Linked DNA regions of Bombyx mori. The protein of the gene in region 2 purifies or fractionates together with the protein of the main gene of each other region. This does not show direct contact. Links are inferred from orthologs where the notes say so. Each region holds a gene or a part of one and is shown on either strand. Other genes may lie near its edges. The genes, in order: PLCb4 and transient receptor potential protein.

Evidence for each region.
Region 1: the proteins of transient receptor potential protein (region 2) and PLCb4 purify together in Drosophila melanogaster (affinity purification with western blotting; 3 studies listed by BioGRID). This does not show direct contact. The link is inferred for Bombyx mori from reciprocal best matches to the Drosophila melanogaster genes trp and norpA.

What each region holds. Positions count from the first base shown.
Region 1 is NC_085124.1:1,852,371-1,856,206, forward strand, and holds part of PLCb4 (1-phosphatidylinositol-4,5-bisphosphate phosphodiesterase beta-4), read left to right. Parts: intron 1-852; coding exon 853-1,089; intron 1,090-3,661; coding exon 3,662-3,828; intron 3,829-3,836. UniProt on the Drosophila melanogaster protein: The production of the second messenger molecules diacylglycerol (DAG) and inositol 1,4,5-trisphosphate (IP3) is mediated by activated phosphatidylinositol-specific phospholipase C enzymes. Essential component of the phototransduction pathway.
Region 2 is NC_085120.1:6,368,296-6,372,131, forward strand, and holds part of transient receptor potential protein, read left to right. Parts: intron 1-234; coding exon 235-436; intron 437-797; coding exon 798-971; intron 972-3,836. UniProt on the Drosophila melanogaster protein: A light-sensitive calcium channel that is required for inositide-mediated Ca(2+) entry in the retina during phospholipase C (PLC)-mediated phototransduction.

The DNA.
Region 1 (3,836 bases), on a different chromosome or scaffold from region 2:
CTGTGTAGCAACAGTAACAGTAAAACATTTATTTTTATACACTAGTTACAAGAGTACCACTGCCGTATCCAAAACTAGCTATCTGGGTAACGTTAATGGAAAATTCTTTTATTAAGCTAAGCAGAAACATTTTTTTCTTTTCAATAGGTCTACATTTGAGATGAATTCTCAGGCAGCTCGCGACTCTCTTGACCTCGAAGCTCTGAATCAATCGTCCAGCATCACCTTACTGGTGTCCATCTATAAGAATTTTAATGCTAATACCTCAAAAACCCCTAAAAAAATCTGTTAAAATTTTCGAAAACTGTTCCAATACCCATTGTGAAGGCGGAGCGGTTTACCAATGCGTTACCTTATCCCACTACTGATAGAGCGGTACTATCAAGTGTTAATAAAGCTACCGAATAACTTGCAATCATTCTCATTGATTCTCTCTTCAAAAATATCTTCTTCTTCTACATATATAAAAATGAATTGCTGTTCGTTGTCTCGCTAAAACTGGAGAACGGCTCGACCGATTTGGCTAATTTTGGTCTTGAATTATATGTTGAAGTCCAGAGAAGGTTTAAAAGGTAAAGATAAATATGGAAATGCTCGAAATTAAATAAAAACAACAATTTTGTTTTTCCTTTGATGTGTCCCGATCGGACGGATTCCTTTTGTTTGTTTTAAGTTTATTTTATACAAAAGTTTAGGTCTTTTATTTATCGATTGAGGCACTACGAAGTCTGCCGGGTCAGCTAGTCTTCTTATATAACACAGAACACAAGAAATTCAACTAACGAAACAAACTTAACGAATGTAATTTCCTATATAATATATAGGACCACTTTAACCCTGACTTTCTTCCAGCTGGATGCGCCTCTGTTTCCTGACCGACCCTCGGGGCAAAGTTCCCGTCAAGGTGGTGGCCAGGACATTTGCTTCTGGTAAAACTGAGAAGCTGGTCTACCAGTGCCTGTCCGAACTGGGTCTGCCGTCAGGGAAGAATGACGTCATGGAAAAAGAAGCCTTCACGTTTGACAAGTTTTACGCTCTGTATCATAAGATTTGCCCGAGAAACGATATTGAAGAGTTGTTTCGTTCTATGTAAGTATTATTTTAGATTTATTTATTTATTTAGTCTATTTACAAATTAACAGCATAAACCAAAACATTTGTAAGGTATTAACGTACTAATATAACGGCCGTCTGGTGTAGTGGTAAGTGACATGGTCACTACACAAGGGAAGATATTTGTATGATAAATATAAACGTCTTTTCCAGGGTTATGGATGTATATTAAATATATTTATGTGTATAATAAAAATCTTACATTTATTTTCCGTTATCTGGTACCTGTAACACAAGTTCTTTACGATCTTATCACGGGACCAGTTAATGTGGCGTGATTGTTAGTAAATATTTATTTATTTATTAATAATTAGCTTAAGTAACTTCTAACAACAACAATAAATCGCTGCAAACCATCATGGAATATATCCATTTCCGGAGCATAGGCTAGCAAGCCATTGAGTAGCGAGACAGTACAATGCGTCGGAGAGTTAGCGGTGTGCTGCGTACGCGCGTGCGTGGTACTAAAAAGCTCCCGCTGGCGACGCACCCCTCCACAATGTAGCATGGTAGTTGTAACTAGCAATGGAACTCATGATTATGTCTTTCCATATGAGTCGACAAGTATCAAAGCCGGCAATGTGACTTTTGGACAATTACTGGTAAATCAGAAAAACGAATTATTGACTTTGTATTCCATTGGCAGTCACAAAACTCTTCTGAACGACATCTTAGATAAATAACAGGTTAAGTATTAACCTTTATTTAATGCAGGTTTTGAACCGTATTCTTTGAAGGAGACAATTATATTCAAATCAATCTGTATTGACATATCAATAACATTTTTTTGTCCAAATGCACAGATTGCCACCTTTGATAATAGACGACTCATATATTGTATCAAGTAACCAGGTTTACGTGTGGCAACTATACCGGCGTTTGGTAGCAGTCTAATCACAATATCTATTACATTATATTAATACTGAGAAATAAATAATACATTATTAAGTAAAATTGTAATACTAATAAGATGGGACCACCAACCCGATTAATTTTTAGGATTGAGAGCTAAACTATATCAGGACTATATCTCAAAGACCCTTTATTATTTCTTAGCCGATTGAACGAGCTCATAAGTGATTACCGGAGCCCATAGGCATTAACAACGTGCATGTCGCCGCTCAATTCTATAGTATAACGGCTGCCCCACCCTTGAAATTGGAACATATTACGATAGAAATAAGCAGGCTTCTTTTATAGAACGTAGCTATTTGTAAGCAGCTTTGACAGTGATTTCAAAAACGCATTACTTACCACATTATATTACAAAAGCGTATTACTGTTTTGCGGCAGGAAAAAGTAAGATGGTGGTTCTTTTTTTTTTTTTATTGCTTAGATGGGTGGACGAGCTCACAGCCCACCTGGTAGTGAGTGATTACTGGTGCCCATAGACATCTACAACGTAAATGCGCCACCCACCTTGACATATAAGTTCTAAGGTCTCAGTATAGTTACCCGCCCGCCCGCTCGGTTCCTACCCGTGCGGGCACTTAAGACGCCCTACCACCATCAAATACGCAAATTATAATTTCTGTCCATTTGAATCTTACTATATAGTGTTATTCCTTCATTGGAGTTGTTCGTGAAGATAAGCTAAGTACGTATTTAATTAGAAATTTTTTTATTTGCCTGCGGGATTCGAACACCGGCTTAGTCGCACCGCTTGATACTAATTTACTGATGGTAGGACTTCTTGTCAGTCCGCACGGGTAGGTACCACAACCCTGCCTATTTCTGCCGTGAAGCAGTAATGCGCTTCGGTTTGAAGGGTGGGGCAGCCGTTGTAACTATACTTCAGACCTTAGAACTTATATCTCAAGGTGGCTGGCGCATTTACGTCGTAGATGTCTATGGGCTCCAGTAACCAGGTGGGCTGTGAGCTCGTCCACCCATCTAAGCAATAAATAAAAAAATGCACCGGGCGTCTTATCCTTTAGGCCACGACGATGTCAAATACAGCCGCTTTGATCACGCAGTAAAGTGGGTTCCAATGAACTGGTATAGCTTTAACTGCAATTAATAATTCAAGGCACCTCGAGATAGTTTTCTTTTTCGTCTTCATTGAGCACCAGATGAGTCGCCGAGATAAATGCGAAACTATTTACCTAAAGTAAAGTGTGCGCCTGTACAACAAAATCCCACAAGATGTTCAGAACCTACATATACATAGGCTTAAGAAAACTATTAAAGAACATCTGTGCAATAAAGCTTACTATAAAGTCAATGATTATCTAGAAGATTGCACAAAGTGGGAATGAGTTGCTCGCTCCGGGCAGTTCAATATTGTAATAATTGTTATGTTATTATACTCATGTAAAAATGTATATTTAAAAAATAATCTAATATTAAAAAAATAATCTAATATTAAAAAAAAAAATACATGCCCGCTGAGTTTCTTGCCAATTCTTCTCAGGACGGAGGCTAATTCTTGTGAATTGGCGGTAGTTCTTTTGACGTTCAACAAGTATGTACTTTCATTTATGTTGAATAAAACTTTTTTGATTTGATTTGATTTGAAAGATGAAAGTAATCTTGTTTTTACTTTCAGAACTCAAGGCAAATCCGATCGCATCAATTTGGACCAGTTCGTGAACTTCCTGAATGAGAAGCAACGTGATCCTCGACTCAACGAGATCCTGTACCCGCTGTACGATGAGAAGAGAGCAGCTGAGATCATCACGACTTATGAACAGAATGAGGAAGCCAAAAATGCCAGTAAGTTA
Region 2 (3,836 bases):
CCGTCCGGTTTTGTATTCGAAAAATATTTACCATCACATTGTAATTTCTATAGGCTCTGATAACCAGTTTACGCCGGGGAAACATGAGGACCTCTACCCTTCAGCACCTACAATAAAAAAACTTAATATATTAATGCAGCTGCTGTTTCAACGCAATCGGTACTTCATTGAACAAACCAAGGATATTTGTGATCTGGATTTTCTAATTAAAGCTTTTAAAAACTATTCAATCAGATGCGGTTGCGACGAATGTGTGAAGTCCTCACAAGAGGATTCTCTGCGGCATTCTCAGGCTCGGATTAACGCATATCGCGCGCTTTCTTCGCCTTCACTCATAGCGTTATCGTCAGCTGACCCACTGCTGACGGCTTTCCAGCTGTCTTGGGAGTTGGGACGTCTGAGTCGAATGGAAACTGAGTTTAGAGTTGAATATAAGGTAAGCCTATGATAGGTTCTTTGTGAGTTTCCCGCTTCGCGATTTTGCTTAGGTGGGTGGACGAGCTTACGGTTCACCCAATGCTAAGTGGTTACTGAAGACCAGAGACATCAACAAAACCAAATGCCGCCACCCACCTTAGGACATCAGTTCTAAGTCTCAGCTTTACAAGATAACGGTAATATATCCTCACTGCACTGTTTGAAATTTATTTTACTGATTGTTTAATTCTATTATTATTATTTTAAAGTTCTACGAGATATAATGCAATGAGATTTTTTGGAACAATTCATTTGTTTCTTTACTTGCTTTTGGGTTTACGTTCACAATATTTGTGTATCATATTTTGATTTTAATTCAGGCTTTACGTCAACAATGCCAAGAATTCGCCACCTCACTATTAGATCACACCAGAACCTCAAAGGAGTTAGAGATAATGCTCAACTACAACCCATGGGATTTGGACTGCTGGGAGCCCGGGGAAAGGCAAACACTTGGACGTCTCAAATTGGCTATCAAATACAAGCAAAAAATGGTAAATCAATTAAAACTAAAACATAACGAATGGTGATTTGTGTAAAGTAAATTTTTTGATAACGAAAATTTCTGCATTAAATTTTTTTGGTGTCCTTGATACTTTTAAACAAATTTAAGTGGAAAATATCAAATAAATGATATATCACCAGATATTAAAACGATATCAAAATGTACTTATTTAAAGTTATAAGCTACAAGCCAATAACAAAGAGGATACTTTAACTTTTGCTCGTTATTATTTTTGTGTTGAAAAGAGGGTACCTTGTATCTCGTTTTTTTTTTATTGCTTCGATGGATGGACGAGCTCACAGCCCACCTGGTGTTAAGTGGTTACTAGAGCCCATAGACATCTACAACGTAAATGCGCCACCCACCTTGAGATATAAGTTCTGAGGTCTCAGTATAGTTACAACGGCTACCCCACCCTTCGAACCGAAACGCATTACTGCTTCACGGCAGAAATAGGCAGGGCGGTGATACCTACCCGTGCGGACTCCCAAGAGGTCCTACCACCAGTGATTACGCAAATTATAATTTTGCGGGTTTGGTTTTTATTACACGATGTTATTCCTTCACCGTGAAAGTCAATCGTGAACATTTGTTGGGTACGTATTTCATTAGAAAAATTGGTACTCGTCTGCGGGATTCTTATCCTTTAGGCCACGACGACTTGATTTTACCAGATGTCCCGGTATTACTTTACAAATTAAAAGTATGTATAATTTTGTCTTTGTATTACCATTGAAATCTACACCTGATTTTCATTACGCAGATACTTGAGCGCTTTAACTTGCTCTTGACAAGAAACAACAAGTACGAACCTAGCCCGTTGCAATTTGGACATAAAGTAAAAATTTACATCATGGTCTGAATTTTTAATCAATAGTCAAAAAATATTCATCAACTGTAGTCAATTAGTAGTCGACTAGTACACCAAATTTAATCACAATTGGATTATGAGCATATACAGCATCAATGGATCATAGCAATAATAATTACAAGCATCAATCAGTGATATTTATTCATTTGATTCCCATTATAGATAGACGAGGGCATGGCCCGCCTAATTAGACTGTCACCTGACAACCAGACACCTACATTAGGTTAATTAATGAAAAGCAAATTAGCAGTAAGCGTATTTAAAATATAAATAAATTTGAATTAAAAATAGTGTAAGAAAAAATGATTTTATTATAAAAAAGTGTTTTTTAGCTATTATTCGTTTTCCATTGTTTAGTTGAATTTTAATATCTTTTTTAAAATTTTTCAAAAATTTCATCTGAATCATCAGTCGGTAACTTATCCGAGAAATAGGTGATCGGCGTGCCTGGTAGTTTCCCTTCTTGGTCTTGACGCAGACACTAGTCAGTAGACAAAACACAAAAAATCACTAATCCTGATTATCCTAGTAAGGATAACGGATCAAACTGCTTAAAATATTGAATTGTCATCGATTCTTAATAAGTGTGCCAAATTTCGAGTTAATCCGACGTTTTGAAGAGGGTCATAATCATGATCAAAGATTCCTTTACATACGTAACATACGTATGAAGCTAATAAAAGCGTATTAAAAAGACTAACGCTCAGATAATGGTCGGATATTCACTCGAAGAGGAGGACGAAGTGAGGCACCGCTTTGTGCGTGTGTGCCAAAGCCTATGCCGCCATCCAAATTAAGATATGACGTGACATCATAGATAATTCCCTTCCAATATTCAGGAACAAAATTATAAAATTTGTTGTTGAACCTCAGCCTTGGCCTTGGTCTGAGTACTCGGGTATTACTGTCCTTGTTGTCTTTCTTTTATTTTATTTTATTATTATTAGTATTGTTAAATCTCTGTTGATATATTAATGTAATGCATGCTGTGATTATTTCTAATTAGAGTTGCAGCTATCAATTGCTCTATACATGTCAATGTTATTTTATGTCTTACTATAAACCCTGTTGGTAATCCTTAAATAAATAAATAATTGTCTCGATCAATATACTAAAATAGAGAATTGGGGATTGAAAATGTATATGGTAACTTATATAGGAAGACGTGTCGAATTCTATATTCAATACTCTTTTATAAAAATAAAAATAAAATAGAGAATCTTATAATTATTATTCAGTCGTTAAAAGTTTTAAGGATCGCAGTTAATATAGAAATTAATAAATTAATTATATTATAATTATATTTTTGTCTACTATAATTAAAATTAATTATAGTAGACAAAAATGAACCTTAAAAATGATAGTCCACAAATAAATCAATTTTATAAAGTCATATAAAAATCGGGAACGCATAAAATCGTTCGTAGATTCCTTTCGATGACCTAAAATCGGCGGAGCGACGTGTTTGTTTATTGAGATTTTTTAATAGTTCGATCTCTCTTCTGGATCAATTTAAATCTTCATAAACAAACATTCGAATTAATGGTCTGTTTACGATTGATTTCGTTTAATCCACCCGGCGTCGACGCGTCGGTCTGTCAGTGAGAATACTCAAACAAATCTGAACTAATTTTATATTTTATTTCGCTCCTTCGATATATTACTACGATACAGATTTGTATTATGTTAATTTTGAAGACAAAGAATCCTGTCTTAACAAGTTAAAGTTTTCTCAAGATCATTTTTACATCCAACACGTTGTTTGGTCGTTGCAAGACGTAATATCTAGTTGTTGTAAAGATTATTTTGGTGCGATGGACGGATTAAGGTCCTAAAACAAGTTATACGGTAACTAAAGTGCTTTAGCAAGCTGGCAAGAGCTGGATGAGTTGGAGAGATGAGGAGAGGCGTATGTCCAGCAGTGGACTGCTATAGGCTGGTGATGGTGATGATGAAAGCGCACTAATATGAAATTTGCTTTTT